Tamandua tetradactyla: one gene and its partners. The protein of the gene in region 1 purifies or fractionates together with the protein of each later gene. This does not show direct contact. Links are inferred from orthologs where the notes say so. Each region holds a gene or a part of one and is shown on either strand. Other genes may lie near its edges. The genes, in order: CBX1, ZNF644, EHMT1 and ADNP.

Region 1 (6,984 bases):
AGGTATCTACTCAAAGGACTTAAGGGCAAAGACACAAACGGACATTTGCACACCAATGTTTATAGCAGCATTATTTACAATTGCAAAGAGATGGAAACAGCCAAAATGTCTATCAACAGACGAGTGGCTAAACAAACTGTGGTATATACATACGATAGAATATCATACAGCTTTAAGACAGAATGAACTTATGAAGCATGTAATAACATGGATGGACCTAGAGAACATTATGCTGAGTGAGACTAGCCAAAAACTAAAGGACAAATACTGTATGGTCCCACTGATGTGAACCGACATTAGAGAATAAACTTGGAATATGTCATTGGTAACAGAGACCATCAGGAGTTAGAAACAGGGTAAGATAATGGGTAATTGGAGCTGAAGGGATACAGACTGTGCAACAGGACTAGATACAAAAACTCAAAAATGGACAGCACAATACTACCTAATTGTAATGTAATTATGTTAAAACATTGAATGAAGCTGCATCTGAGCTATAGTTTTTTGTTTGTTTGTTTGTTTATATATATTTTTTGTATTTTTTATTTTTATTTTTCTCTATATTATCATTTTATTTCTTTTTCTGTTGTCTTGCTATTTCTTTTTCTAAATCGATGCAAATGTACTAAGAAATGATGATCATACATCTATGTGATGATATTAAGAATTACTGATTGCATATGTAGAATGGAATGATTTCTAAATGTTGTGTTAGTTAATTTTTTTAATTAATAAAAAAAAAAAAGAATGGCATAGAGCACCATGGCAGTGATAGCTCTCTCTACTTTGAAACATAAGAGCCAGAATTTACCTAAAAATGAAATATATTATATCTGAAAACAGTTGTCCAAGATGTACAATTTAAGGAAATGACAGCCTAGAAAAGCAAGGTCTTAGGTTTTTCATAAAGGCCAAATTCAATACCAGAAAGACCACATGAAAGAAGAGATTAGGTTGACTGTGTGGCTACAGCAGCTAAAACTAGGGAAAGTATGTGGCATTTATATGGGGAACAGAAATCAGCTCAATGTGAGGCGTTAAGGATGGCAGCATTTTATTCAGGCAGGACTATGGTTTCGGAATTATGTTACTGGAAAAAGGCCACGGATTCTTTTGCCCGACATGCTCAATAACCAATTCCTGAGACACCGGGGTTTCAAAGTGTTCTGGTTTGCTAGCTGTCAGAATGCAATATACCAGAAACGGAATGGCTTTTTAAAAGGGGAATTTAATGAGTTGCTAGTTTACAGTTCTAAGGCTGAGAAAATGTCCCAATTAAAACAAGTCTAAAGAAATGTCCAATCAAAGGCATCCAGGGAAAGATATCTTGGTTCAAGAAGGCCGATGAAGTTCAGGGTTTCTCTCTCAAGTGAGAAGGCACATGGTGAACACAGTCAGGGCTTCTCTCTCAGCTGAAAGGGCACATGGCAAACACGGTGTCATCTGCTAAAGCTTTCTCTCCTGGCTTCCGGTTTCATGAAGCTCGCCAGGAGGCATTTTTCTTCTTCATTTCCAAAGGTCGCTGGCTCGTGGATGCTCTGCTTCGTGGTGCTGCAGCATTCTCTGCTCTCTCTGAAGCTCTCATTCTCCAAAATGTTTCCTCTTTTATAGGACTTCAGAAACTAATCAAGACCCACTCAAATGGGTGGAGACATGTCATCCCCTAATCCAGTTTAACAACCATTCTTAACTAAATCACATCACCCAGGGAGATGATCTCATTACAGTTTCAAACACACAGCACTGAACAGGGATTATTCTACCCTTAAGAAATGGGATTTATATCAAAACATGGCTTTTCTTAGGGGGCATGCTTCCTTTCAAACCAGCACACAAAGACAAAGAGTTTATTTCTAGGCGCATAGTAGGAGAGCAGATGGCCCATTGGCCCAAAATCTATCTCCCCAAGTTTACGGGGGTTCAAAGTTTTTAAGGATTTTAACAAGGGCAGATGAGATCATTTTTAATAGCAAATTCAAAGGAGAATAGGAAACGTGTTATCATTATCATTTCAATAGGAGAACATAAGTTGAAAGGAGGGGAGGCAGAGGTTTCACTTCAATACTAAAGGTGTAAGCCAAAAGGAAGGGAGACAAGTTATCTTTTAATAGTAGAGTCTAGCTGAAATGATTTACAAAATGTCTGGGGCTGAAGCTAGTCATAGGCTGACTTCAAATTCTTCATTAGGACTTTTGCCCTACAAGAAAATGACCAAATAAACGGAGTAACAGCTCCTGCAGTCACAAAGACCCAAGATAAGAGCTTTACAATCATTTCCGATATCAGGGCATCTGAATTTATAGTTTAGGGTATTCCCCTCTGTCTACTCCAGTATACCAGAAAGCAAAAAGCAGTATGATTCAGTAATCAAAATCATTGCTTAGATCTTGGTTTCTCGGTTACAATTAGAAATAAATTCAAATCTTTATTCCACCAGTTTTTTGTGAATATCATTGAACAATGAATGGTACAAGATTATACAACCTTTAAGCCTTCTCTGAAAAACAGAAATAATAATTTCCACCTCCCAGGCTGCTGTGAGAATTAAATAAAATCAATTGAGGGCTTATCAGAATTCCTAGCACTATAGTAAACACTTAATTATAGTAGCTATGTCATTAAGACTAATTTTCTCATTATTTAAGTTTTCAAAACAGAATAGAATGCTTCAAGAGGGAGTGAGTAGATGAATTTTTGCTTCTTTCTGAAGACCTAACCCACATCCTTGGGAAGAATTGCCCTCTTCAGTATGCTCCCTGAGCCCCCTTAGCAAAACTGTTAAGATACTGTCCGCTTGTTACATGGCAACTCTCTTGAGTCCTGCCCAGTGCCTGGTTCAGTGTAACAGTTCTATAAATGCAGACTTCTTCATTCTGGGGTAAAGTGCACTAGATTTTAATAGCCTTTCCCCTTTCCCCCTGATTAGAAGGCTACTTTAATATTTAAAGGAGTTATCGTCACCTGATAGAAGTTCTCTTTAGTTATTGATTGGGTAGGAAAAAGAAGATAGTAAAAAAACCACAAATCTGAGGTGAGCAGAAGAGATGAAGAAAAGCTTGATCGCCTCCATTTTCACTGTCAGGCAGGAGAAGATCTAAGTCATTAATCATTTATTCAACAAATACTTTTTACTACTTATACGCAGAGGATGTATTGAGCACTGGGGAAATAGTGGTGAACCACACAACACTGGAGCTTGGAGCCCAGGAGGGAAGACAGACATTAATTGATGACAATAAAGTGGGGTAAAAGTTATGATGGTAGACAGAATTTCCTTATGAACGGGTTTGGGAAACAAACCCTCCTGTTGAAATCAGGAGAACGAGAACATTTGTCTGAAAGAACAACAAGCAAGGGGTGGCTGGTAAGGCGTGTTCATGAAGGAGTGGGCACTACAGCCACACACTGGCACAGCCAATGAAAAAGGGAAGTCCAGGATGCCGTTAGGACTACCTAGCAGGAGGACCTAACCTTGTTTTCAGGGGCAGAGAAAGCCTCCAAGAGTAGTAAACTCAATGCTAAGGAGGAGGACCCATACTAAGAGCACTGGAGATTTAAGAAGGCCGAGATTTGATAAAATTCTGATGAGGAACCTGTTAAAATTCCAACGAATATATATATGTAGAATAGAATGATATGTTAATTTTTTTGTTGTTAATTGTTGTAATTAATAAATAGAAATTTTTTAAAAAGTAAAAAAAAAAAAATCCAACGAATAGAGAAACTGAGTTCCAGAATTGTCCAGAAATAGTTAAATTTTCGGCCCTACCCATGAGGCTCGCTTGTAAACCACGTTCTAACTTTCCAGGGTGCAACGTTCTAAACTATAGGACATCGGTCCCTCCTGCTTAAAATTAAAACTCCCTAAAGCCCTGGCAATTTGTGCGTGGCGGCGTGGGTCGCGCGGGGTCCTTTGGGTCTTGTAGTCTTGGACGGACATCAAGTCCCATAGGGCTGTGCGGTGGGTCGCCGCGCCTGCGCGATGCGGTAGGCGGGCAGCGCACTGTGCGAGGTTCTTTTGTTCCGCAGAGGGGAGGGCCGTTGGCCGGGGCCTGCGGTACGCCGCCTCAGTGAGGGGTTCGCCCGCGGCCACCCGGCTCGTTGCTTTCCTGGACGCCATTCCCCAACTGGCCCGACGCGCCGCGTCAGTAGCGCAGCACCGATTCCCCTCGGGCTCTTGGGCGCTGCTCTGAGGTGAAGAGCCCGCTAGAGGCAGGGAGGCGGGGGGAGGCGCGCGGCGGCAGCAGGAGCCGAGGGTGAGGGGCCGCGCGTTAGCGGCGGCGGGTGGGAGTGGGGAGCATGATCGGGTTCCCGCTTCGGTCCTTTCTACTTCTCGCGCGGAGCTCTCCGGAGGGCGCAGTGTCGGGTGCGGGTCGCTGGAAGGATGGAGAGGGCGGGGCGGCGAATCTGAGCCAGTGATTGAAGCGATTCGGGGGGGCAAACACTTGGGTCACTTTTCCAGATCTGGGTAGACCGAGACAATGCTACTTGAGTTGGGTGCGTAGCTGCAGGATTGGGCTGGAAACACTTTAGTAAACTGGGAACGGGACGAGCTGGGCAGCCTTGCTGCTCGGGTGTGCGTGGGGAGGGGATGACAACTGGGAGACCCGAGGTTTAGAGGTGTAACCCGAGGATATTGGGTCCTGCCGGGGTTGCGGGAGGAATTTCGCTAGCCGGCTAGGGAGAAGAAACTTGTAACTTGTAAGGGGGGTGAGGGGGTGGGCAGCAAACATAAGGTGTGCTACTTGGAGAGATCTGCTGGACTAGGTGTAAACAGGGATTGGGGAATAATTGTTGAATAAATTGGAGAGGGAGTTGGAAGGGGGAGGGGCAGGTTTTTGCCTTGCCTGGTTCTAGAGGGGAGGAGCTGTTAGGATAAGTGGGGCGGAGGCCTCGAGAGTATTTCTGTGAGGGGTAGAAGGGAAAAGAAAGCTGGCAGCACTTGCTTGCATGGGAGGCAATAAGAATAATGTGTGAAGAAGAAATGGAACACGCTTTTTTCACTTTTGTAGGTTTTGGGTTTTGTTTTGTTTTTTTCTCTGTTTGAGTCCTAGTACCCCTCTTGTTTTGATTCAAGATTCATTCCGTAAGTTTTGAACTGGGATGATCACAGGTCTTACGACAGATGCTGAAATTGTAGAAATGTATAGGTGAGTTAATAGTTAAGGAATGAAATGAGGTAGTGAGAGATTGTGAGATGGTGTGGGAAACTGGCAGACAAAAGGAAAAGTAAGTTTTTGGGGGGGCTCCTGTTTTTTTTTTAACCAGCGTTCCCTTTTGAAACAAAATGTGAATATAAAGTGTGCAAACCTTTTTTTTTTTTTCCGAAGAAACCCAGAAGGCTAAATGCTAAGCTAAAGATGAGAGGTTTTCATGGTTTGGTGTTATATTCATATGTGTATTCGTTTAACTTTAAAAGTTCTGTTATACTAGAACCTCTGGTCAGGAGTAAGGTAAGCTCTCTTCCTCAGTGGTGTGAAAAGTGCAGGTTTTGGAACAGATGCATGCATACAGCCAGAAAAGTAGTGACTTTGCCTTATAGATGCCTTATAGACATTGATTTGTGAAGTGGTGTGATTGAAGGGCACCTATACTGGAACTGGTCTCACCTTAATGAAGCTTCAGGGCAGTGGAGGATCTTCGGTCATTTCCGGTTTTACCAGTGGTGACATTCTTCTTTGGCTTTCGGTAGGGTAACGGTATCCTAGCCTCCTGCTTTTTCGAATACAAGATACCTATAATTTTCTAACTGATTATCTAAAGAAAGGAAGTCATCATTATATTTTCTTGTGCTCATTTTAGGATCTAGGAGTTTATTTTTGTGTTTATTTAAAAAGATTTGATATTGCAAACTATAGACTATAGTTAACAGTATTTTTATATTCTTTCATCAACAGTAATAAATGTACCATGTACCACAACAATATTATAGGTCAGTAATTGGGATTGGGGGTATAAAGGGGTATGAGAGGATTGGGTTTTCTTTTCTACTTTTATTTCTCTTCTGGAGTAAGAGAGTAGTAAAAATGTTCTAAAATTGATCATGGGTATGTATGCACAACTATGTGATTGATACTGTGAGCCAGCGATTGTGTACTTCAGGTGGTTTGTATGGTGTATGAATATATCTCAATAAAACTGCATAAAAAAGTGAAATTTGTCTATTTAAAAAGGAAAGAGATTTGATCCATTTTTTTTGTCAGTTTCTAGTGGTTTATCCAGCAAGATTTCCCTTTTCCATATACTGTCCGTAGTGCTAACACAAATTTTGCATCAAATTTGATAGGTATTTCACTTTATATGTTAGTCTTAAAGAATTTTGAGAGTAAAATTCTAAATGCCAGTTTGTGGCCTTCCATAAAGATAGGCCAAGTCTATTATTCATCCAGTGTCTAGTACATAGTAGGGCCATTCAGATTGTTGATGAATAGGATTTTGAGATCCTTTCTGAGAACTCCATGTGTTAAATCAGCAGAATTAATTGTTTGCCTTTCTTAGATCTATGATACTTGGCAGGGTAAACTGTTGCCTTTGGTGTATTGTGTTAGTCTCAGTTTCTGATGTAATAGCCCTGGTGTTAAATACAGAAAAGGTATGCAGACTGTGTAAATAACCACTCTAAATACTTTAGGAAAGCAGTTGGAGAGGCCCCAGGTTCTGGATTTCAACGGCAAGCTGTCAAGCTTAAATATTTTCTGTTTTAAAGGTATCTTGAAAAATCTTGGTGCCCTTTGTGTAGAGTTGAATAATAATAAACGTTTCCCAAAGGCAGTTCTGTTGAGAAATTGAATAGCCTTCCGAAGGTTGACTGGAGAAGTTATTCAAATATGGGCAAAATTTAGATCCCCTCAGTATTTGAATTGAGTAATGTATTTTTTTCTGCTTTTACCTTTTATGATCAGCAGGCCAGTAGGGGGCAGCCTAATTTGTCTGCAAATTGTGCCTTTTTAAAAAATAATAGCTAACACATTGAGAACCTAACAG
Region 2 (7,987 bases), on another chromosome or scaffold:
CCTTTGATGTATATATTCCCATTTTACATGCAAGGAAAGAAACTCAGACTTGGGTCACACAGAGTTAATGCGGTAGCAGCTAAGCATTGAACTAGGCATGTCTTGATTCTAGAAATGAGACCTTTCTATTCTACCTTCCTGTGTTGTCATCTTACTTAGTTGTTCAACAGTTTGTAAGTTTTATCTCCTGTTCTTCAAATTCCTGTTCTTAAAACGTTACAGAAGCATTTTTCTGTATACCCTTATTTCAAGTGGTGTTTTATTGTCCACATTGTTTATTCATAGCATCACATAAAGACTCTTTGTCTTGGCTGGACATTGGTACAATGATACTGGCCAAAATGGAAGCTGCCTTTTTCTTTACTGAGTAGTTAATATGAAAAAATTCAAGCTTAATCAGAACTAATAATTTGTGGGGCTAAGCATGCTGCAGGTTTAATAATGCTACCTTTTCTTATAGCACATTTAACTTAAAACAGGATAAAGTAAAAGTGGATGATATATTCAGTTTATAACCATCTGAAAACAGAATTTTTCTTGTATTTTTACACTTTGAAATGACTTAAACTTCTTTATTAAAAAAATCTTGAGTGACATTAAAATTAAATGGGTAGTTACTATTAGCAATTCTTAACATAATCTTTAATTATAAAAGAAAATTGTAGTTAATGAAAGAAGAGTATTGAGTCCTTACATTCTCATTGGGAGGATGATATACATCAAAAGATAATTGGAGCATTTATAAATAGATTGTATAAGTCAGTACCGCCCAATAGAAATATAAGTTGTCATAAGTGTAATTTAAAATTTTCTGTAACTGCATTAAAAATAAAAACTTAGGTAAAATTAATTTTATTGATATGTTTTATTTAAAAACAGTATTAAAATATCAAAATACAATCAGTATAAGCATTGGAATAGTTTATGTTCTTTTTTTCATACTTGGTCCTCAGAATCTAGTGTATCTTAAGTACAAAGCATATCTCAATTCAGACTAGCCAGATTTCAAGTACTCAATAGCCACATAAAACTGCTGGCTACAGTATGGGACAGCACAGGTATAGTTAGTAAGTGCTGTAGGAGTATGGACAAAGTGTAAAGTAGAAACTGAACTGAGCCTTAAAAGATGACTGGGTCAAGAGTATGAGACTAAAGGCTGAAGAACACTGTTCCTGTAAAGAAGAGATAGAAATTAAAGCAAGAGATATATTTTGAAAGCAGATAATAGAATAGTCTGAACCCGGTTTAGGAAATTTAGTTTGTATATTGTGGGGTGTGTGTGTGTGTGTGTGTGTGTGTGTGTGTGTGTGTGTGTGTGTGTATTTGAGGGTGCCTAATCCATGGTCATAAATTGAGTACTTGATGAATATTTAATAGAATTAATATGAAGCAGAATACCAAAAATGCTAGAGAAACTCTACTAGCAAAGCCATGTGGGCCTTTAAAGAGAAATTTAGGGAATATTGATACTCTATGGTAATATAATGGAGAGTTTTTAAATAGGGTGAGAACTAAGAAAAGGTTCTTCAGTTTGGCCAATACTTTGTTATTGGTGACCTGTTTTTAAATGTTTTATTTAGACATAATTTACACATAGTGAGGTGTACAAATCGTGAGTACAGGTTAGTGAATTTTTACATATAAGTGAATCTAGGTACCTTCTACCCAAATCAAGATATAGAACATTTTCAGAACATTTTGGGTCCCCTTTTACTAAATGGAAGTAAGATTCTTGTGCCTACTGTCAGTCCCCTTTCAAAAGTAACCACTATTCTGAATTCTATCTCTGTAAATTAGTTTTCTTGTTTCTGAACTTAATTATGGCATATCTGTCCTCCTTTTCAAGGGTAGTGAGAGTTGGTGCTTGTGTCTATTTCTCTTCTATCCTTGTTTGGTATTTGTGAATTTGTTGGTATTTTAGTTTGCTGAAGCTGCTGGAATGCAATATACCAGAAATGGAATGGCTTTTAAAAGGTGAATTTATTAAGTTGCAAGTTTACAATTCTAAGACAAAACAAATGACCAAACTAAGGCATCCAGAGAAAGATAACTTAACTCCAAAGAAAGGGCCCATCAGGGTTTCTCCTCAGCTGGTAAGACACATGGCAGTGTCTGCTAGCTTTCTTTCCTCATTTCATAGGACTTCCCTGGGGGTATTTTCCTTCTGCCTGTCTGCAGGTCTCTGGCTATGTGGGCTCTGTTGGCTCTGAAGCTTTTTCCAAAATGGTTCCCTCCAGTAAGCAATCCCACCTTGAATAGGTGGCGACACATCTCTATGGAAACCATCTAATCAGAAGTTATCACCCACAATTGGGTGGGTCACATCTCCATGGAAACAAAAAAAGATCCCACCCAGCAGTACTGAATAAAGATTGAAGAGTATGGCCTTTCTGGGGTACGGGACAGTTTCAAACCTGTACAGGTGGTAAAACAGACGATGGGTAGCTGGAACCGTGGCCCTTCTGTTTTATTTCGGTTTTTTGTTTGTTTCCCCCAATCTTGATTATGCCAAGTTTAGAGAGATCCTTAGTCTTCACTATTATAACTCTTTAGAGGCTAGTCTTATGATTTCAGTGTTTGTTCAGAATGGAGAGATGTGAATTTCCTTCACAGGTAACATAAATTATCTGGCTTGCTTTTAGTACAGTATTCTCTAAACACATAGCCAAGAAGGAGGTGGAGGAGGTCTTAGGTTGCCCCCTAATGTAGTTGCATTTTGGATCCTCTTTGACAGTAGCTTGTAGGTAATATGTAAGTTTAGCTTTCAGGATTTCATATTTGCTTAATAAAGTATTGGGTATTTCTTATTGTGATCGTAGGGATAGAAATTAATTGGTGTACTACTGTTTACAGATTTGTATCCACCTTAGAATGAGAAAGATTTTGGCATTTATTTGTGTGTAAATAATTAGGATATTACCCTAAGGCAAATTGCACAAAAGATTCACTGGTTAAAACCCGTGAAGGAGATTTCATAAAGTGAGAACTGAAACTAGAATTGTTGATCATGGTTTTTATTTCTAGGTCTTCAATCAGTTTGTTTGTTTTTTTTTTTCAAAATGGGTTAGCAGCATTATTTTTCATAAATACTGAGCACTGGAAGCTTTTATTATATAACAATATTAAATTGGTGCTTTGGGGAGAAATTTGATTTTGTTCTGAAATATGTATTACTAAAAAAAGTTGTAAAAGGTATGTAATGATGAAAATATGTCTTCATATTTTAACATGCTTAGCTTTGAAAATTGGAGTTTTTTTTGTAAATTATGCAGAATGGAGCATGAAGAATTTCTCAGCATTGGATTATGAGTGCTTTTGAGTTTATGAATGAAAATATTTACTCTATTAAAAAGTTGTATGTTTGGACTTTGTGCTTTGTTTACAATTTTTAAAACTAAAGTACATTTAATATATTCCTATTTCAAGAATTTTAATAGTTTCCTTAAAGAAATAATAAAACCTCATCTATCAATTTTTCTTATTGTAGGTTTTGTGTTTGTGAAGTATAGAAGACTAAAGCAGAATTAGGTTAGGAATTGAAAAAGTATATGCTTGTTATCTACAAAATATCAAAACTTTCTTCATAGCTTATTTGGGCTAGATTTCAAAACTTACAAACAAAATTATTACAATGGTACTAATTATATGTAGGAAGAAATGCATTGAACAGTATATGTTTTCCTCTTGACAAAAATGAATGTTATATTTGAATTCGGGATTGGGAGATTTGAATTTTTATATTCGGAAAAGCATTGTGTCATTATATTTCTCCCCACTTTTGCTTGTTTAAATGTTTATTAGTTATTATACAAATTCACTTACTGTCTCACTAGGAATATGCACATATACAGTGCTTCAAATAGCTCCTGATCTAAAACGTGATTTGAAGAGCACCTATTAGGGAAATATTTGAATTACTGAGCTTATGTGAAACAAAATAATATGAATGAATGGTTTATAGAAAGTGTATTAATTAAAAAAAACCTCTTGGCAAAAATTTTTATCTAGATATTGAAAAAGTGGTATGTGTAGATTAGTGGAGAGGGAAGGTACTGTCAGCTATGAGAAAGTCATGTTTAAAAGCACGGAGTAGTTCAGTGATTAGAATGCCCGCCTTCCATATGGGAGACCCAGTTCGATTCCTGGACCATGCACCAAAAAGAAAAAAAAAAAAAAAAAGCACAGAGATGGGAATTATGGAATGCAAGCATTTTCCTTGGCTGAAGTAGAGTTTATTTGAAATAAATATAATGAAAAATAAACTTGATAAGATTGTGTCTTGAGCTAGAGGAATCTAAAGGAGTTTTATGAGAAAGAAATAAGGAGTTTTACTGAAAGCCTTTGAGCAGAATTGCATGAGGAAAAGAGGAGAGGGATTAACAGTCAAGTAATATAATTGGAGAAAAGATTGGTATGAAGAAGGTCTGTTAGGAAGTTAATGTCTTGGTTCACGATGAGTATATGAAGGTAGCATGGGTAGTTTTAAAATAAAACAGGTGGGGACTAAATTAAATCAGAATACGGGGGTAAGGAGGACATTGTTTGCATTTTAGAACTTCACCTACTCTGCGACACCAAAGGAAGAGAGGTTTATTTTGTCCAAAACTTAAATTTTCTGTAGCACATAATCTAATTCAATCTGTTTGGATAGATGATTTCAACAATCCAAGCACATTGAACCCAGAATGGGAATAAGGGCTTGTAATTCTGTATAGCTTAATGTAATGCACGGATACGTCCCAGAGTGTGATGAGAGATACTGAAAAAGTATGGCAAAATCCCTTGAGGGGTGGGAGAAAAATTATGGAACTATTAAACTCTACCAATGAGGAAACTCCTGGTACTGTCTCAAACATTAGGGACTCCCAAGTCAATAGGCCATGCCCTTGATCTTGAGGCTTGCTCTTGTGAAATTTATTTATTTAGTAGAGAAGCTAAGCCTACCTATAGTTCTAAGAGTTACTTCCAGAGGACCTCTCTCTCTCTAAGCCCAACTCTGCAAGTAAAATCATTACCCTCTCCCCTTTGTGGGACATGACATGTAGAGGTGAAAGCTGTCTTGGCAATATGGGAAATGACTTCCAGGGATGAGCCTGATCCTGACACCATGGGATCAGCAATGCCTTCCTGATCAAAAGGGGGAAAAGAATTGTAGCAAATATGGTGTCAGTGGCTGAGAGAGTTCAAAAAGAGTCGAGAGGCTACTCTGGAGGCTACTCTTATGCAACTTTAGCTACATATTGCTGTTTATCATGGTTTGCTAAACCCCAATCCACACCTTTCTTGCCAACCCTAATGAACAGCTAGGGTTTTATCTGAGATTCTACAAAGGTTCCATGCATTATGATTACTCTCCAGAAACTTAGAACCTCTGGATGGATTCCTAGGCCAGATAATTCCTGAAACCCAGAGGGGCCATCTTCTCCAGAAAATGACCTAGTTCTGTCCCCTTCTCCTATATTATCAATAGCCCTTTCCAACATGAAAAAGTTGAAATGGACATAGCCCAAATACCTCTAAAGATGGGAAGAAAGATCAAAGGAGAAGGTGGAGTTATAATAGAAAAAATGACATTTAACAAATGAGTATAACAGCTGAATCATATTTCTTTTAGATCCAGTGTCTTGGAGCAGGTAGAAGGAAAAACCTAAAATTGTAGAACTGTAACCCATACCAAACTGAAATTGTGATGTGCTTTGAAATTTATTGCTTTTTTGTATATATGTTATATTCACAAATAAAAAATAAAGTAGATTTCTATTGTGGCTCCTAAGTTTGTAGTGCAAAGTTAAAATAAGAATGGAATAGTTTTATTATCTTCTGGTATTGAACATAAATTTACTTGGAGAAAATTTTCATTGTTATTAACACTAATTGAGATACATCTGCCTTTTTCTATTAAAAAAAACTGACCTGAGGTTTTTTTTTAAAGTTTGATTTGAAAAATAAGTAAAACACAAGAAAATTATGCTATAGCAGTATTTTCTGAATTTCAGGTACTTTTGAGTACAAAATATTTTAGATGAACGGAAAGAGAAGATGTAAACTGTAATGCTGAGGTTTGAGCATTTGAACTGTGGTTCTAGAGACATTCTAATTGGTAGAGGGACAGTTGGGAAAACAGGTTAATTAAAATTAATAATCTGGGGTGGGCCATCATGACTCAGCAGGGAGGGTTCTTGCCTGCCATGCCAGAGACCCGGATTCGATTCCCGGTGCCTGCCCAGGCAAAATAATAATAATAAATAATAATAATAATATGAACTACCAGTGTTTCAATTTATTTTTAAGTAGATATTTGTTTAAAATTTAGGAGCATTTGGGAACATACTGCTTTTTTTATGAGAAAAATAAAAATCCCTAAACTGTGGTTCCCTCAGGGTGGTGGTAGTATTTGATATTTATGATATGTTTTTCTTAATGTTGACTTTAAGGTTTCCTAAGTTGAAAGTGTGCTATGTTTTATAATGAATGAAGACCTTTTTTACAGTAGAAGTAGAAAAACATGAAATATCACAGAAGTAACATATATTTTAAAATCTTTTCTGCTTTTATTAGAGTTAGAAGATATAGCAGAAATTTCGGAGTTAATGAAATTTTTAAGATAGTATATTTGTCATAACAAGTTTACATTTTAATTGTTATCACAGTTAATATAGACTTAACTTCAGTTAAGAAGTTAATGGTGAGATTTCTGGCAACATGGCAAAACAGGCACATTTGACTCTTAAGCTTACTACTGAGGCAAAACAGCTAAAGTAAAAGAATACATTTTCCCCTACTCACTCTCGTTGGGAAATAGAGATTCTGCATACATGTCTGAAATTTGGGGTTTCTGTATAATAGTGTGGGTGAGCAGGGGTGACCGTGGAACTATCTATTGATTAACCTAGTAAACTGGTGCAAGGAGAGAACGGTGGTGGTGAAGTTAGAGATAATTTTCAGTGGTTGCGGTAGCACTCAAAATTTTGTGCTGTGGCAGTAAATGTCTTACAGTGACAGTGCCATTGACATTTATGCAGTGACATCCTAAATAGGATGCCTGACCGCCTCCTTATTCATCTGATTTTCCAAGCCTGATTCACCAATTTTATTATCAAGTTTGATTATTTGATATTCTTCCCATAGCTTTTTCTGAATTTAACCTTAGAAATTTAGACTGAGAAATATTGTAATTCAATGTTTGAAAATTTATCATATAAAATACATAATAGAAGGTTGAAAGATAAAATTTAGGAAATCTCCCACATGTAACATAGGGGAAAATAAGAAAAAAGATCACACTTGTGGGTTTAACATAGGTGTGATTAAAACTACAGAACAGGAGAAAACGGATGTAGGGAATTGTTTAAGAAAAATTGAAGCAAAACCTTAAGTTTCTAGATTGAAAAGGCTCACAGAATGCCAAACATAGTGACTGAAATAAAGAATCACATTATGGTGAAATTTCAGACACCAGAAATAAAGGGAGGGCTCAAAAATTTCAGGTGAGGGGAGGGAGGAATGGGATGTATAAAAAAGGATTGGTACTCAGTAATGTTGATACTTGAGTAAATAAAATAATACCTTCAAATTTCTGAAGGAGAGTTTTTTCCAAACTATTAATTCTATATACCCTGTGTGTATACCCTACCAAGTGTAGGAGTAGACTAAAAATAGGAAATGTTAGAATATTTACTTCAAATACACTGTATCTCAAGAAGTTAGTACAAGGTGGGCTTCATCAAAATAATTGGGAAATCAAAAAGAGGAGGGAAAACACAGAAGAAATAGAAAAAAAAAGATTTTTGCAACTATATTCATTAAGGGATGTTGATTTGTTTTTGGTGTGAGGATAATATTGTCGTCTTAGTATGAGTTGGAAGAGTTCTTTTCTATTATTTGACCAGTTAGTGAAAGACTGGTGTTAATTCTTTGAATATTTGCTAGCTCTCACCAGTGAAATCTGGTTCTGCGCTTTTCTTTGTGGAAGTTTTTTGACTACTAA
Region 3 (7,178 bases), on another chromosome or scaffold:
CGCGCTGCCCCAGTCGGCCCTGCCCGGCTGCAGCCTCATCCATATCGACTACTACCTGCAGGTGCGTGCTGGGCTTGGACGGGGGGTGGGGGGGCCCGGGCCTCAGGCCCCGGCCTCTGACGGCTTCCTTTCCGCCCCCTAGGTCTCTTTGAAGGCCCCCGATGCCGCCGTGACCCTCCCGGTCTTCATAGGCAACATCGCTGTGAACCGCGCCCCGCCCAGCCCCCTTCCCGGCCCAGGGCCGCCCCCTGGCCTCGTGCTGCCCTCAGCGCCTCCCCAGGACGAGGGGGCGGCGGCGTGCGGGGGCGTCCGTCTCGAGGCCCCTGCCGCCCTCTCCACCAAGGCCTCGCAGCCGCCGCTGCCGCCGCCCGCACCCTCCGGCCCCGCGATCCTCGAGCCCCACCCTGGGCAGCGCAGCCCTGCGCCCCCCCCTCTGTGCATCTCGGCGGGTGCCACAGTGCCCTACTTTGCTGAGGGCTTGGGGGGGCCGCTGCCTGCCACCAGCGCCTGGATCCTCCCCCCGGAGTACAGTTCCTGGGGCTACCCCGATGGTGAGTGGGGCCGGCTGCGCCGGCGGGGGCAGGGGCGGTGCCCGGGAGCCCCGCGCACCGCGCAGACGCTGCTCTCTCCCCGCAGAGGCCCCACCGTCCTACGAGCAGAGCTGCGGCAGCGGCGAGCGCGGCCCGAGCCCCAGGAGCTGACCCCCGCGGCCTCCCCGGGCCTAGCCCGGCTCCTCGTGCCTTCTCCCCGGGTCTGGCCCGGCCTCTCAGGACCCACGACTGTGGTTGACCTCCCGGCCTCAGGCCCCGGCTCCCCGCGTACGGCGGCGGGCGTGGTGGGGAGGGAGCCCCTTGCTTGGCCCTGGAGAGACTTGTGCAAATAAAGAGCTGGATTCGTAGAGATGGGCAGAGGCCGGCCTGGGAGAAGGGCGGGCCCCGGGCCCCCCGGGGGGCCCTCCTCTGCCCCTCAGGGCGCCCCCCGCCTCCTTCAGGGGGCGCTGTGGAATCCTGAGTTTTCCAGGCCCTGTTGCTGTGGGGTGGGGGTGGGGCGTCGCGCCTGGGCTTCTCTTTAGCCCGGGAAATGGTCCAGGAAATGGGTTGGCGCTCGGGTCGCCCTCTGTGGCTTGCTGCTGGAGTGTCTGAGTTAATTGAAGAAATGATTTGTGCTGTGGAGAAAGACCACCCTGTTGCATTTGAGTAGAGTACACTTCCGGCACCCACCTTTCCTGGCAGCTCAGTTCTGCACATAGGGAAACACTTGGTGGGTGGGTGGAGGGCCTGCTCGAAGACAGCTCCCCCAGTAGAAGTACCTTTCTCTTGGCATCCTGTGTTTTGCTGGCATCAAGGTCAAGTGTGGCTGTCACGGACACTGCTTTTTTAGCTCCAACACATATGCAGTACTGCTCCTGCAGTTTCCTGAATGTCAAGACTGTCATCCAGGCGGTGCACAGGTAGTTCAGTGGTTAAAATGCCTGCCTTTTTTGTGGGAGGCCTGGGTTTGATTCTCTGAACATGCACACCCCCCCAAAAGACTCATCTAAAACCCCAAGAGCAATCTAAAAAGGCTAGGTTCTGTAGTGCCTGGTCTCCCAAAGGGGCATCCTGCACCAAAGAGATGACAGCCGATGTCCTGTGGGGCCAGTGGTCCTGGGGGTACCCTGGGAAGTGCTGCAGGTGGTGGTTGTGATGAACTCTGGTTCGAATTCAGCTCTGCCTCCTGGTGAAGAGGTGACCTTGGCTAAGGGACTGTAGGCCATGGGACTGTTAGGAGATAGGTCAAGTGTCCCTACCTCACCTATTATATGAGAGGAGTTTATTTCCTGTACGTATACAAGCGGTGGTAGGCCCAGTCCTGGGGTAGAGTCGTCTTGCACAATTGTGGCTTCCATCCCAGGGTCCTTGGTGGTGGTTCCAGTTTTCACCATCACCCGGCCTACTGGGATGGGAAAATGGACAATGGGCTTGGACTCCATGTTTTAAGGGAGAGGCAGAAGATGAGTCAGGTCACTTTTGCCCACATCCCATTGCCCAACCGTTGTTACCAGTGTGGCACAGAATTGCGATCTTTAGTCAGGTAGCCATATGCCCAGATGAAATTTTATTTGTGGGAAAAGAAGTGGATGAATATTGGAGAAAAGCAAAAAGTGTCACAAGTGGGATAATTTATTAGATATCTGGTAGATGCAGCATAGCCTTGTGGTCGGGAAAGGCAGCATTCTGTAGCCAACTTACCTGGGTTTGTCTCCCCACTCTGCCTCTTGCCTACCTTGGGACCTTGAAGAAGACACTGCACTCTTGCTTCAGCTTGCTCCCCTATACTCTCTGGCCAGAATAGTGCCTCTCTAAGCTACCACATCATGTGCTGACCATGAGATGTGACCATTGCTCTTCCTGGGCAAATGGGAGAAAAAAGGGAGCCTGTGGCCTCCTGACAAATACATTTACAGTTGATATTTCCTGAAAAGGAATTTTCTCTGCATTATTACTCATTTATTCATTTAACAAATGCTAACCTTGTCTCCTGTATGGCAGGCACTATCCTAGGCACAGGGGCACAACACAACAAAAATTCCTGATCACCTCAACTTACAATCTAGTGAGGGAGACAAAATACAAAACAAAAACAAAAAAGGCTAAGAGAGTCAGACATAAAGTGTTATGCCCCCAATACAGCAAGGCATAGGGACAAGGGTGTTCTAGGAGTTGGGTATCAACTTTAAATGGGGAGGCAAAGGAAGGCTTCCCTACAGAGGCAACATTTGAGGATGTGAAAGAAGGGAGCAGTGCAGTGTTCCAGGTAAGGGACAGCACATCCCAGGACAGGAGTGCTGGGGGAGAGGATGGCGCCAGAGAGGTAGGTGTGGGGGAGGCAGGGCAGGTTTGATGTGCAGGCCAGGAGAGCTGTTGCTCCTGTCTCCTGGGAGGGCTGGGGTAAGGAGTCCCTATGAGAACTTGGAGTCCCCCAGCCTGCCATGCGCTGACTTAGCATTTGACAGAGCAATTTAGCTGCCCTAAAGGCTGGGAAGATATCCGACTTCCTCTTCTGCATGGGCGTGGGCTGCCAGTACCAGACTGAGGAGGATATTCACGGGTAGGGGTCCTGAGTGCCTTCAAGACCTCAGGGCCTTATTCAGTTCTTGCCAGCCAGGTGCCCATCCTTCACATTCCTACGGTGACTGGCTAGAGAACCCCGATTTCAGCCCATGCTTCTTCTCTCAAGCCCAACATGTGGGAGGAGGTGTCCTAGGCCAGTTTATGTGGTGCTGGGCACGCTGGTCCAGTAAGGGCTTGGGGCTACTTGGTAGGAAGCTCGGAGATGAGGGGCAGGGAGAGATGGGACCCAAGCCTTGGTCTTCAGCAAGCAGAGCTTCTTCCTTGCGCAGTCAGTATTTAGGAAGGAACCAGGGGGCGACTAGGCAGCTCGCCCAGCAGACACGCCCCCCCCTCCCACCCTGCTGGGGGCAACCACCTTTTGGACACCTTTTCGTCCCTTGTTGGAGTAACTCTCCCGCAGACGGGGAACTTCCGCAGCTGGGACATTCCCCCAAGCCAGGCACAACCCCCTCCCCCCCACATTCGGGGCAATTCCCCTAGTTTACTCTCTCAGCTGGTCCCCACCCCAAACGGGCACGGCCCCAACTGGGGCACCCCTCGTTAGTCGGGACCACACCTTCCAGCCCGAGCATCCCCCGACCAGGGCCTGCACCCTCTCAGTCCGTGAACTAACCCCCAACTGAGGCACCACCCTAGAACGCAACACCGGAGGGCCGCCTTCTACCAAAGCAAATGTTATCAATGTGTGTCCGGGTTAGAGGTCAGGGGTCGGAGACTCGGATCCTTCTCCACCCCCGGCAAGTCCACCAGAATGCCTTTTTAAAATGCGAGGATATTTGCTTTAAATGGGAATGCCACTTTCGTGTGAAGGTCTATCTTCCGCGAGGGCCGGGACAGCTAAGCGCAGCCAGTTCCGGCCACCGCCGCGGCCCGAACTCCAGCGCGCAGGCTAGGCGTTACCACGGCGTCAGCCCCAGCGCGCAGGCGCAAGCGCCGCCACAAGCGCCGCCACGGCTCCTGTTCCAGTGCGCAGGCGCGGGCGCGGGCGCAGGCGCAGACGCAGGCGGCAGCCCCGCCCCGGCTCCTGGCCCCGCGCGGGGCGGGCGGGGCGATGGCGCGCGGGAGGGGCGGGGCCACGCTGCGGGCCCGGGCCATGGCCGCCGCCGATGCCGAGGTGAGCGAGCGGGGCCGGCGGCGAGCGGACGGACGGGCGGGCGGGGAGCGGCGGGCGGTCGGCGCGGGGGGTGGGCCGAGGCGGGGCCGGGCGGCGGCGGACGCTGGGCTGAGGGGCGCCCCCGCCGCCCTTCGCCGCCGCCGCCGCCTCAGGCCAAGGCCGGGCCGAGGCCGCCGCTGCTGCCGCCCGCCGGGCGCGCTTTGTGCGAGGCGCGGGCCGGGCTGGGCGCGGGTCGGGGGTCGCGCCGGCGCCGGTCGCGAGTGAGGCGAGGCCGCGCGTCCCTGCCTCCCGCGTCTCCCGCCCACGGCCGGGACCCCGGGTTGTGGCGCCGCGCGAGGGGCGCCTCGAGCCGGGCTTCTGCTGGGTGGGCCTGGGAGTGTGGGAACCCCGAGGAGCGTCTGGAAGACAAAAGGGAAAAGTCGAGTGAGCCGGCGAACTTTGAGGAGCGAGGAGCGGCGAGGCTGCTTCCTGCCCTTCGTTCTTTCCTGGGCTGCTGTTGACCTTTCACTTTGTTCTTAATAGGATGGCACCATCGTCAAGGAAAAGTTGGTCAGTCCTGGCACAGCGCTCCCCAGACAATGCTTTTCCGTCTCTGGTGGCTGTCACAGGCCGAAATGCACTCTTGACGGGAAGCTTTGCTGACTTAAGTTTATTTCTAAACAAGCAGATTTAAAGTGCATCGAATATAAAAAGTTCACATTCCTTTTGTCGATAAACCTGGCTTTCCTCCTTGCTCGGTCTCAAGGATAGTTTGTTCCTTCGGTGTGGTAGCATAGAAATTAAACTTTTGTGAGATGCATCACCAGCTTCCTACTGAAAGAAAAGCAAACAGGAGGTGGTGTGCTTATGGAAAAGCAGAAGTTGTGTGGTCTCAGGATTGAAATCGGTGAACAACTTGGAAAAAAGTGATTACCTATTAGTTTTTCTTTGTGGCGTAATTATTGGGACTTTCAGTGATCAGAAAGGTACGGTATAACAAGGAGCTATTACAGTAACGTGATTCATAGAATTAACAGTATAGTTTTGTTCAGATAAATGTACAATCTTTGTCTCATTGCATTATTGGGGGCATTGATAGAAGTAAATGGAGAAGATGCAAGGGAGCTCTTAAATTCAATGCTTTAGTTATTTATTATCTGTAATATTAAAGGAATGTATTAGGTTCTGGGAACAAAAAGATCAGTTAGCCTTAAGTCACTTACTAGCTAGTAGGGAGGTGAATCAGTTAGCCTTATGTCATTTACTAGCTAGTAGGGAGATGTGTAAGTGATTAGTGATATCCTATATTGAGTACCTGGAGTCCTGGGTACTATGCCAATCGCTTTAGATAAGTTCTTTGATTAAGTGCATCCTGTGCAGTAGATACTGTTATTTCCTGTTTAGCTGATGAGCAAAACAAGACTGGAAGAGGTGAAGTAAGTTGGCCTAGGCAGTTACAGGACTAGAACTTGTTTGGTATCTGGCACATAGTAGGTACTTGATAAATAATTGATGAGGGAATGGACCTAGATGTCTCTGATTCCACAGGCATCCTGGAATAGAGGCTTGTCAGCCAATAGTGATGATAGTCTGCTTTTAGGTACATTTAGTGCTTTATGTGAATGCACTCATTTAAGCCTGACAGTGGTCTTACCAGGTAGGTACTATTGCTGCCCAGTTTACAGACAAGGAAACATACCAGAGAGGCCCAAGGTTACAGAGCTTGTGGCTGAAAAGGTGAACATGTAGGTGGTCTGACTCCAAGCCCATGCTGGCAAAGTATGTGCTGAATCTGAGGAGGGAAAGGATGTGACGGAAGGGTCATTTCCAGCAGGGACCTTTGGTGATGCTTTGTGGAGGATTCATTGCTCTGTTTTCCTTGAGCCAGCCCATCTCCCCACAGTGCCCCTGCACATGCTGCTCCAGTCACCGCTTGTCCCGGTCACTAGCATCTGGGGTGTTTCCAGCACAGGGGGGACAGACTTACTTGGAGCTGGTTTAAGTGATTGCCTGCAGAGCACAAAGAGCATGTATGTTCATAGACTTGCTGTCATTGGAACACAGTTCTGTTTGTGAAAATGCTTGGTCCAGAATCTTCTTAATTTTGAACAGTTTCTTAAGGTCTGTAATGAAATGGTCATTTTATGTTTCTTAAAAACTCTGGTCTCAGTTTCATGATTCTAAGTGTTTATTATGGAAGCAGGTTATGGGGGAAATCCATCTGTACTGTAGCACTGCTTGCCCCAGGTTGTCATTCTCCTGAACAGTGTGTAGTGTAGGCTGAATACTATGGAATGGGTCATCTGTTGCCACTTAGAGTTCACTGATTACCAGTGATGAAACTAGTAAAGATGACAGCTGAAACTTACTTAACTGTCTAATCATTCTTTCCTCTTTTCCTTGACCTAGAAAGATAGTTACCACATTTTCACACTAAAAAGAACTGCTGAGTGGATGGGGTATATATACCCTGTGTCCCGTTTTGTGGATTAGGAAACGGGGTCCATGGGAGAACTTGAGGCTTCTGCCTCATTTTTTGGTAGGAGGGCCTTCCCAGCGTAAGGCCTACTATGCTTTCTAGTGAGATGGTTATTACCTTTGCCTTTAATATTATCTAAAAAATAATATGTAAATATGTTTTGATTTTAATTTTTTTAATACAGTTTCATTGAGATACACTCACCCACCATACAAACCATCTGAAGTATACAATCACTGGCTCACAGTATCATTACATAATTATGCATTGTAAATATACTTTAAAAAGACAATGCTAACAGACAGTTTTAAAAGAGGCAGCTCTTCCCTGCCTTTACCCTCTAGGGGATAGTAGCCACTGCAACTCTTATAAGCTGTTTCTTTTGGCATTTCCTTCATAAGAAATAAAAAGAAAAAAGAAAAAACTCATTCATACCATACCCCTTACTCTTCCCTCTCACTGACTACTAGTATTTCCATCTATCCAATATGTA
Region 4 (7,736 bases), on another chromosome or scaffold:
TTAAAGAGGAAGTGTATTTTCTTTACCCATTATTCCAGTGTTATGGCTGTGTGTGTCATCTGCGTAACCCTGTGCTTATGTGCATAAAGAAAATCTTTCCTTTGTAAAGAAGCTGTTCTCTCCAGATTGCCCCAGAAAAGAATCTGAGGATGCTAAAGTAGCTGCAATACATAAGTCATGTTCTCTAGGCTCTTAGATGTATTTTTGAAATGTTAGTAAGAGCTATTAGTCACCTGTAGCTTGTAACTGATTGATAGTTGCGTTTAAAACATAATCTAAAATCATGGAATGAGTCTGAAGTCATTTTCCAGAGATTCTCCAAAACGCTGAACATTCTTCCTCTACTTCTTTAAAGAAAAAAAAATTTTATGCAGACTTAACCTATTACCTAGTTGAAAACAATCCTTTTGTTCTTTTATTGGAATCTGAAAAGGAAATACATTGCCAAATCCCTGTTTGCTGTTTCATAGATCTTCGTATTTCTAAATAATGATTGTTGGTAAATATGATTAGGGGTTTTTAAAAATCTACTTTAGTACTTACCTAAAGTTGGAGAAACTGTTGCTTTATGGGGCCTCTCCAAATTTCACTTTTCAAAGAATAAAATTCCCTGTGTTCTCTGAAAACATGAAAAGTATTAGATTTCCTTTCATTGACTAAAAATTTCTTTGTGCTAGTGAACTAACATTTTTGTGAAATTAGTGTGGTATTTTCAGTACGTATGTTTGCATATGTTTCTCTGTTTTATAAACTATATTTTGAAAGACGATTTGATTATTTTCCTTGGCAGCCGTGGAGCCAATTTTATAACTCAGATTTTGCTGAGACCGGGAGCATCTGATTTGACAGGAAGCTTCAGGTACAGTGAGAATTCTTATTTTTATATTTTCTGTTATTTACAACTTCTTGCCTAAATTCTTTTGCTTTGTAGTGGCTATTTCAAAGAAATCTTTACATTTCTACCCTTTTTTTTCCTGAGTCTTTTTTCTTTTTTTTCTTTTTTTTTTTTTTTTCCAGAAAGCTGACTGAATTCTAAGCATCATCTTAGGGAGAAAGACTTTTTTAAGGCGCATTGAAGGCAGGGCTCAGGTTGGGTGTTATCATCAGTGCTCAGTCCCTGGGGGGCGGGGGGGGGGGTCTGCATCGTCTGCGGACAAGTTTAAAGTAATGTTTATATAGACCTTTTTCAGTTCCCTTGTTTTCCAGATATCAAAAAAAAAGGACCAAAGCCTGCTGTTCTAGGTCCCTGGGTGTTTTTTTTAATGTTTGTTTGTGTTTGTTGTCTCTTTTTTTAAGACCTCAGTAGATGAATTGCTTTGTATGGCCATGTCAAATGACTAAAGACTGAGGTTGCTAGATTTTTATTTTATTATTATTTTTTAATCTCTAAAACTACAAATGTCTGTTCATTTACTCTAACGTCCCATCATGCTTTGGTTAATGATTTACATTACCTGATATATGCTTTATTCCATTTAATGTTAATTCTTAGGTCCTTCATTTAAAACAGGAAAATCTAGGTCCTTAAGTGTCAGAGTTAACAACAACAAAAAAGATTAACTAGTACCTCTAGTGTAATTGCAAGTCTATTGAACAGCATTCGTTCAGCGATAGGGAGAGAGGTTAGCAAGTATGGAGAGAAGCCATCACAAATTAAATATCAAAATGAAAGTGAAGCCTCTCTAGAGTTAAACTGAAAATTGACTAGAAAGCAGAATTTGGTATATAAAAGGTAGGGGCCCATAAATCCCTTCAAGGCACAGGAATTAGTTATCTGATTAAGATCTCTGATTGCTACATAGCAACAGTGAAAGAATCGTGGCACTCACAAAATATCTGTGCAGAGGGAATGTCCATGTGGGTTTACAGGCCGAGGGTGTGATTGTTCTGAATGGAGATCCACTCCTTATGGAGGAGGGGTTCTTGTCTTTGGCCTGGTTTCCCTATTGACCTCATCAGAGGGGGCCGCCTCGCCTTTATAAAGCAGTGCATCTTGTCCCTCATTTTGAGTATCTACTGGGTGCTACGCATTGAACAAGAGTCAGAAGTCCTTGTCCTCACGGAGTTCACACGTTCCAGTGGCGTGAGACCCACAGCTTCGTCAAGTATAGGCAGTATCTTATGGGGGTTATGCTGTGGAGAAAAACACAGCATGGAGAGCAGTGGGGTGAGGGTGTCCATAGAGCCATGTGGGGACTCAAAGGCGGGTGAAGATGACCTGGGAGTTCTGGGTTTCATGTCATGAGGGGGTGATGTGGCTGTGTCCTATTCAGATGGCAAAGCAGCCACACACAAGTAAAAGTGAGCCTGTTAAATTTGACTGTTATTCAAAATAGTGGAAAGCTCTTGTCTCCTCAAAAGGATAGTGACTTAAGTATAAGCGGCAAGGTTCAACTTACTATTAAATTTCCTATATTTAGGAAGCATGTTATTTAACAAAATAAGAAATGGAATCCCAAAAGAATGCATTGTGATGTAAAGCAAAGACTACCTGGTCCTAGTTCCATTTATTTTTGGGTCATATGGCTTCATGTATATAATTTTACCTGATTAGCTGTAGGGCACAGTGAGGAGAAATAAATGTCTTGGAAAGTGAGTCTTAAGGGGAGTAAAATGACTTCTTAAAGTTGAGGAAAAAATTCACAGCCCAATCCCAGTTTTAAAGGTAATGCTAAAATATTGGGCCTTCACTATTCTAGTCTTACCCACCCCACAGACCCACCTTCCTTTCCCCACTTAACACCATCTGATATTAATATTATCTTTATTTAGTTTCTCATTCACTGCTACAACTCCAAGGTATGTAGAGGTACCAGAAACAGTACATTGTCCAAAGAGTGTTTGTTACTGAGTAACTGTTAGAGCCAACAGAGTCTCCTTACTTTATTTTGAATCCTTATGAAACCTGTTTGGGTAAAGGAGTGCACACACTGTGCTGTGGTCTTATCCCCACTTAAGAGCTTGCAGAGCCAGCTGGTAAAGTAACCTTAGAGGAACCCTGAGGAAATAACAGGTTACAGCTTAAACCCTAAGGCACCATAGATCCAACCCACCTTAACTGTTGAAAGGAACAGAGTTGCCCCAAACTGCCTCTGCTTGCTTTCCTAAAAGAAATTGCTGCCTCTCTACTCAGAGACTGATCATTTTCTGACCTTGGTAACTCTGAAAACAGAGTTCCGTGCTATTGACTGAAGGACATGATTGGGCTGGTCCACAGCCCTTAGACTTCTAGGTCCTCTTATTTGTAAACCCGCAAGATCTGTTTGGCTGCAGTCCATCTAAAGTTAGGCTGTGCATTCACCGATTATACATGCCTATCGCCAAGCTCAGCTGATGAGGAAAATCTTGTTAATTACTAGGTTCTTTCTTGGCATCTAGTTTATATTGTCACTTCCACATCTTCTGTCAACTCTACTGCTATGGTGTTTTGGAACATTTTCTTCTTTTGCAACTTGAAAAGTAAATTTTAAGAAAATTTATAAACTAAAATAATGAAAGTTCTTCAAAATGATTTTTATAATATAATAGAAAGATTTTCCAAAAGGTATTGAGAATTCATTTTCTACATTATTTAGCAAATATTTAATGACTTTTTTGACAAGTATATCACAATCATTGACTGAGAAATTTTTATACACAAACTGCTAGTGAAAGTTTTAGGCTCTACAATTTCCAGTGAATTTTTATTCATACATTATTTTAATTTCTTACAGATTATACCGAAAGGAAGTTCTACAGAAATTAATAGAAAAATGTGTTTCTAAGGGGTATGTCTTCCAGATGGAGATGATTGTTCGGGCAAGACAGATGAATTATACAGTTGGCGAGGTATGGGATGGATGGTGAATAGTATGTTGTATTCCTAATAAAGAAACACTCAAGTTTAGACTTTATAATGTAAGTTTAACTTTCATGCTACTAAACTAACATGAGAGGCTTCTACTTGTTTAGAATGTCCAATTCTCAAGGCTAAAAATTTGGATCACTTTTGACATATAAAGTTTAAATCATTAACTGAAGGCACCATTTATTTTACATAACTAAAAGTTGCTGATACCTTGTCCATTCTGGCCCTTTGTTCTGACTAGCCAGAATTAGTGGGACGAGTCTCTTCATTAATTTTCATTGTCATAGCCAACAGCCACCTACTTTAAAATGAATAATGAGTTACACATGCCCACTTCCTGTGAACATATAAAAATTACTTGGAATTATAGACACAGTTGGGGGGAAGAAGAGTATCTGTATTAATTTAGATATTAAATATTAGATACATGATATTTAAGATTTTTAACATAATGCTAAAGGGCTGAATTTAACTGGTAACTTAAAGAATGAAGTAAAAGGGTATAATTTTTCCTTGAAATGCAGCCTGAAACATGAGTAAACCAACTTAATGTTCAGGACAGGTGCTTTTCAGAGTTACAGATTTGGTTCATGTGACCTGTGTTTAGGTATTAAATATATGGCTAATTTTGAAATCTTGGAGGTACACACAGTTGCTGTAAGACTCCCCTATATCTGAATGTACTTGAAGGACTTTCTTTGTAGGACTAATGCTGTTTCTATTGTCTAGGTGCTTCTCTGCCTCTCCACTTTTTTTGAAGATTGACTTTAATGTATCTGTTTTTTAACTAGGTTCCGATATCATTTGTGGATCGTGTTTATGGTGAATCCAAGTTGGGAGGAAACGAAATAGTCTCTTTCTTGAAAGGATTATTGACTCTTTTTGCTACTACTTAAAAGAAAGTTACTCATTTACACTTATGTTCATTTCAATTTAAACATAAAAGAAGGCTGGTTGCTGATTTTTATAAAATGTACTCTTAGAGCATAAACTGTAAGGTAAGGTAAATTTCATGTAAATCTTTTTTTCTGAAGAAACTCCCATTTTATATTTTAAATTAGAAAAATGAACTCTTTCCTCAATTTCTTTTTTATTTTGCTGTACTGAGATCTATAAATAAATGTATGATTTTTTGCACAAAATTATTGCTACTTTCATTAGAGTATGTGAATACCAAATTTCTTATATTAGGATGATTTTGAAATATTCTTTATAAAAGCTGGATCCGTAGCTCTTTGTATCTAATATATGTCAGAAGTAGGAATGTCAGTAATTATATTCATAAAATATATATGGCTGTTTCCTGTATGAATTGGGGGAAGAAACATACCTCTGCCCTGTCCTTAAAAATGTATCTCAAATGTCTTAAATGAGTTAAAACATTTAGAGCAAAATTTTAAGGTTTTGGTCTTTGCAGCTGCTGCCATGATAAAGTATTTCCTCTGTTAGAGCAAGTGTATTTAAAATATATATTCTGTGAATTGAAAATAGCCTGGCAGTTCATTGCATAGTTTTTTTTTTTTTTTTTTTCTTTTTTTCTTTTTTTCCTCTTCTAATAGAAGCAGCAACCTCTGTCAGTAAATACTGAAGAGCTTGAGGCATAAAGTTAGCTGTTTTGGTAATTTTTTTATGAAGATTTTTTTCTCAAAATATTTGTTTTCATATTATTTTAATACCCTCACCAAAATATACATCATTACTCATATGACATAAGTCCCTTCCTGACAGCTTTATTTTCCATTCAGAAGGGTATTCTGCCAGTTAAAATGCAGGTTAACTTGTATAATAAATCTAGCACAAATGTTGTTTATTCACCTTCTCTAAAGGTAGGTATTTTTTTTAAAAGGTTAATGAATTTTTAATAATAGCCACCTTTTGGATCATGTACCTTTTAAAATTTGGGTACTACATACTTTGAACAAAAAAGCTTAAGATCAAGTTGACTTTTCTTTGCAAGTAAATAGAAGAGGTGTCTGAGTTATGTAGTAATCCTGTTTAATGAACACTATTCCTAATTACTGCCTTTTCCCATCTTAATTTGGCTGCTTGAAGAAATTTAAAGTTTGATTTTTCATTTGCATTTCTCTCAAATAGTTCCTACCAGAAATGAATGCCAGAGTATGAATATAAAACATTTGGTGTCATTATATTCCCCCTTCCAATAGCTGAATCCAGGGTACACATCCCATTAATGGGCAGGGCTGTGCAACTGGCCCCACCTTTCTTGGGGATGTGACTTCTCTCATTGGGATTTCACTAATAATAACTAGAAAATTCATCAGTGGATGATGTGAACTATTAGTTTTAAGCTAAGGTAATAGAAATGTAAATATTCTGAATTTTTGGGCTACTCTGTTCAGAACCTATTCTCATTAGCCTAAATCCAGAGTTAGGTTTGTGTCAAATATGTGAAGCAGAGTTTAAGTAAATACCTTAGAGAACCCATAGTAGAGAACCTCATCTTTTAGTTCTTATTCCCACAATTATTACAACACTATCACTATTGGAATTTAATGAGAAGAAAGTGAGCAGTGACAATTTTCACCATTTGGAAATCATTTAGAAAAGAATCTGGGCTGTTCAGATGCATTTTTTTAGTAAATCTGATGACTTTTAAAAATCTTTTTAAACGTTGTATCTGAATCGAACATCCCTTTTTGGTTCATAAATGAGGCAAAGGATGAAATACAGATGTTTTCCCTTCATATTTGCATTATCACAATATAAAATCTTAAGTATATTTTAGGAAAACTGAACTTTTAAGATAAAATTATTTTGCTTATATTAACCTTTGCATGTCTTCTGCAACAGCTAATTAGATTCTTCATTCTTATTCCTCAGAATCAAATGTTTTGCCCCACATATGATAGTTTTTGTCCAACTTTTTTTCTGCTATTGTTTTCCCTTGAAATACTGGTTTGGTTTTTAGAGATGTATTTTATCAGTTACAGAAATTAATGGAATACTGTTGGATGAAAGACATTTTGTTAAACCAGTTAAGCAAAATCTTAAGACATTGCTCTATATGTAACTACATTTCATTTTCAATTGGCTCGTTTTGAGATAGGGTTTGAAGGTATGGTTTCAAATGTTTTTAACTTGAAACTTAGAGAAATAATCAAAAGACGAGTCTGTATACGGAGTACATACTAAGAAAATAGACTCATCCTTCCCCGTCGCCATTTTTCACTTTTCAGTGTCTACCCAATTATATATTCTCAGATGCAGGTCCACAGTCCAGGCGATAGTGTGTTGGTTGGGACTGGCCTCGGCTTGCAGGAGTCCAGCGCTGCTTGGGCTGCCCACACTGGCCCTAGGACCACACAGTGTGGCCTTTGCACCCTGTAGGGCCCGCTACAGCGCGTGTCGGCCTTAGGCCTCGAACACCGGGCTTCCCACTTGCTTTCCTCAGGCGGATAGAAGAGCCCGCACTGGGACCTGAAGAACGTCCTACCCCAGAGCAGCAAGACGCCTGGAAGACCCAGCGGGCAGGGGCCGGCGTGCGAAGCCGGCGCTGCCCCTGCCCCTGGCCGGCCTGCGCTGGGCCCCGAGCACGTGGAGCCGCCGGGTCGCCCGCGTGCCCCTCCCCACATGTAGTCCAGGCCCACTGGGCCCGCGCAGGGATCCCCAGCACGGCCACCTGACTCGAGTGCCGCGTGCTGCGGCGTGCTGCTTCTGCCTCCGCCGCCGGCGCTGCGGCCTGCACACGGGCCCTGCAAACGCACTGCGGCCATTATCCGCGGCGCCTCCTAGTGGGCCGATGGCAAATCCCTCTGCTTCTCGCGAGAGCTGCCCCTCAGTGGCATTATATAATTCCCCTCAGGCGGGGGTGTGGGAGGCTGTGGTGCCACCCTCCCACCGAAAAAGTTAGGTGCACGCACAGGTGGGA

What was found.
Region 2: the proteins of CBX1 (region 1) and ZNF644 purify together in Homo sapiens (affinity purification with mass spectrometry; 3 studies listed by BioGRID and IntAct, with this or other methods). This does not show direct contact. The link is inferred for Tamandua tetradactyla from reciprocal best matches to the Homo sapiens genes CBX1 and ZNF644.
Region 3: the proteins of CBX1 (region 1) and EHMT1 purify together in Homo sapiens (affinity purification with mass spectrometry; 3 studies listed by BioGRID and IntAct, with this or other methods). This does not show direct contact. The link is inferred for Tamandua tetradactyla from reciprocal best matches to the Homo sapiens genes CBX1 and EHMT1.
Region 4: the proteins of CBX1 (region 1) and ADNP purify together in Homo sapiens (affinity purification with mass spectrometry; 6 studies listed by BioGRID and IntAct, with this or other methods). This does not show direct contact. The link is inferred for Tamandua tetradactyla from reciprocal best matches to the Homo sapiens genes CBX1 and ADNP.

Annotation. Positions count from the first base shown.
Region 1 is NC_135332.1:29,359,737-29,366,720, reverse strand, and holds the start of CBX1 (chromobox protein homolog 1), read left to right. Parts: upstream 1-3,973; 5' UTR 3,974-4,194; intron 4,195-6,984. UniProt on the Homo sapiens protein: Component of heterochromatin. Recognizes and binds histone H3 tails methylated at 'Lys-9', leading to epigenetic repression. Interaction with lamin B receptor (LBR) can contribute to the association of the heterochromatin with the inner nuclear membrane.
Region 2 is NC_135337.1:33,360,809-33,368,795, forward strand, and holds the start of ZNF644 (zinc finger protein 644), read left to right. Parts: upstream 1-4,979; 5' UTR 4,980-5,495; coding exon 5,496-5,547; intron 5,548-7,987.
Region 3 is NC_135328.1:130,278,839-130,286,016, reverse strand, and holds the start of EHMT1 (histone-lysine N-methyltransferase EHMT1), read left to right. Parts: upstream 1-4,168; 5' UTR 4,169-4,206; coding exon 4,207-4,227; intron 4,228-7,178. Other genes in the region: ARRDC1 (arrestin domain-containing protein 1), read left to right, coding at 1-61, 143-551, 637-701. UniProt on the Homo sapiens protein: Histone methyltransferase that specifically mono- and dimethylates 'Lys-9' of histone H3 (H3K9me1 and H3K9me2, respectively) in euchromatin.
Region 4 is NC_135327.1:2,009,959-2,017,694, forward strand, and holds the start of ADNP (activity-dependent neuroprotector homeobox protein), read left to right. Parts: upstream 1-4,743; 5' UTR 4,744-4,845; exon of another isoform or gene 4,846-5,302; intron 5,303-7,736. Other genes in the region: DPM1 (dolichol-phosphate mannosyltransferase subunit 1), read left to right, coding at 791-859, 3,714-3,828, 4,639-4,743.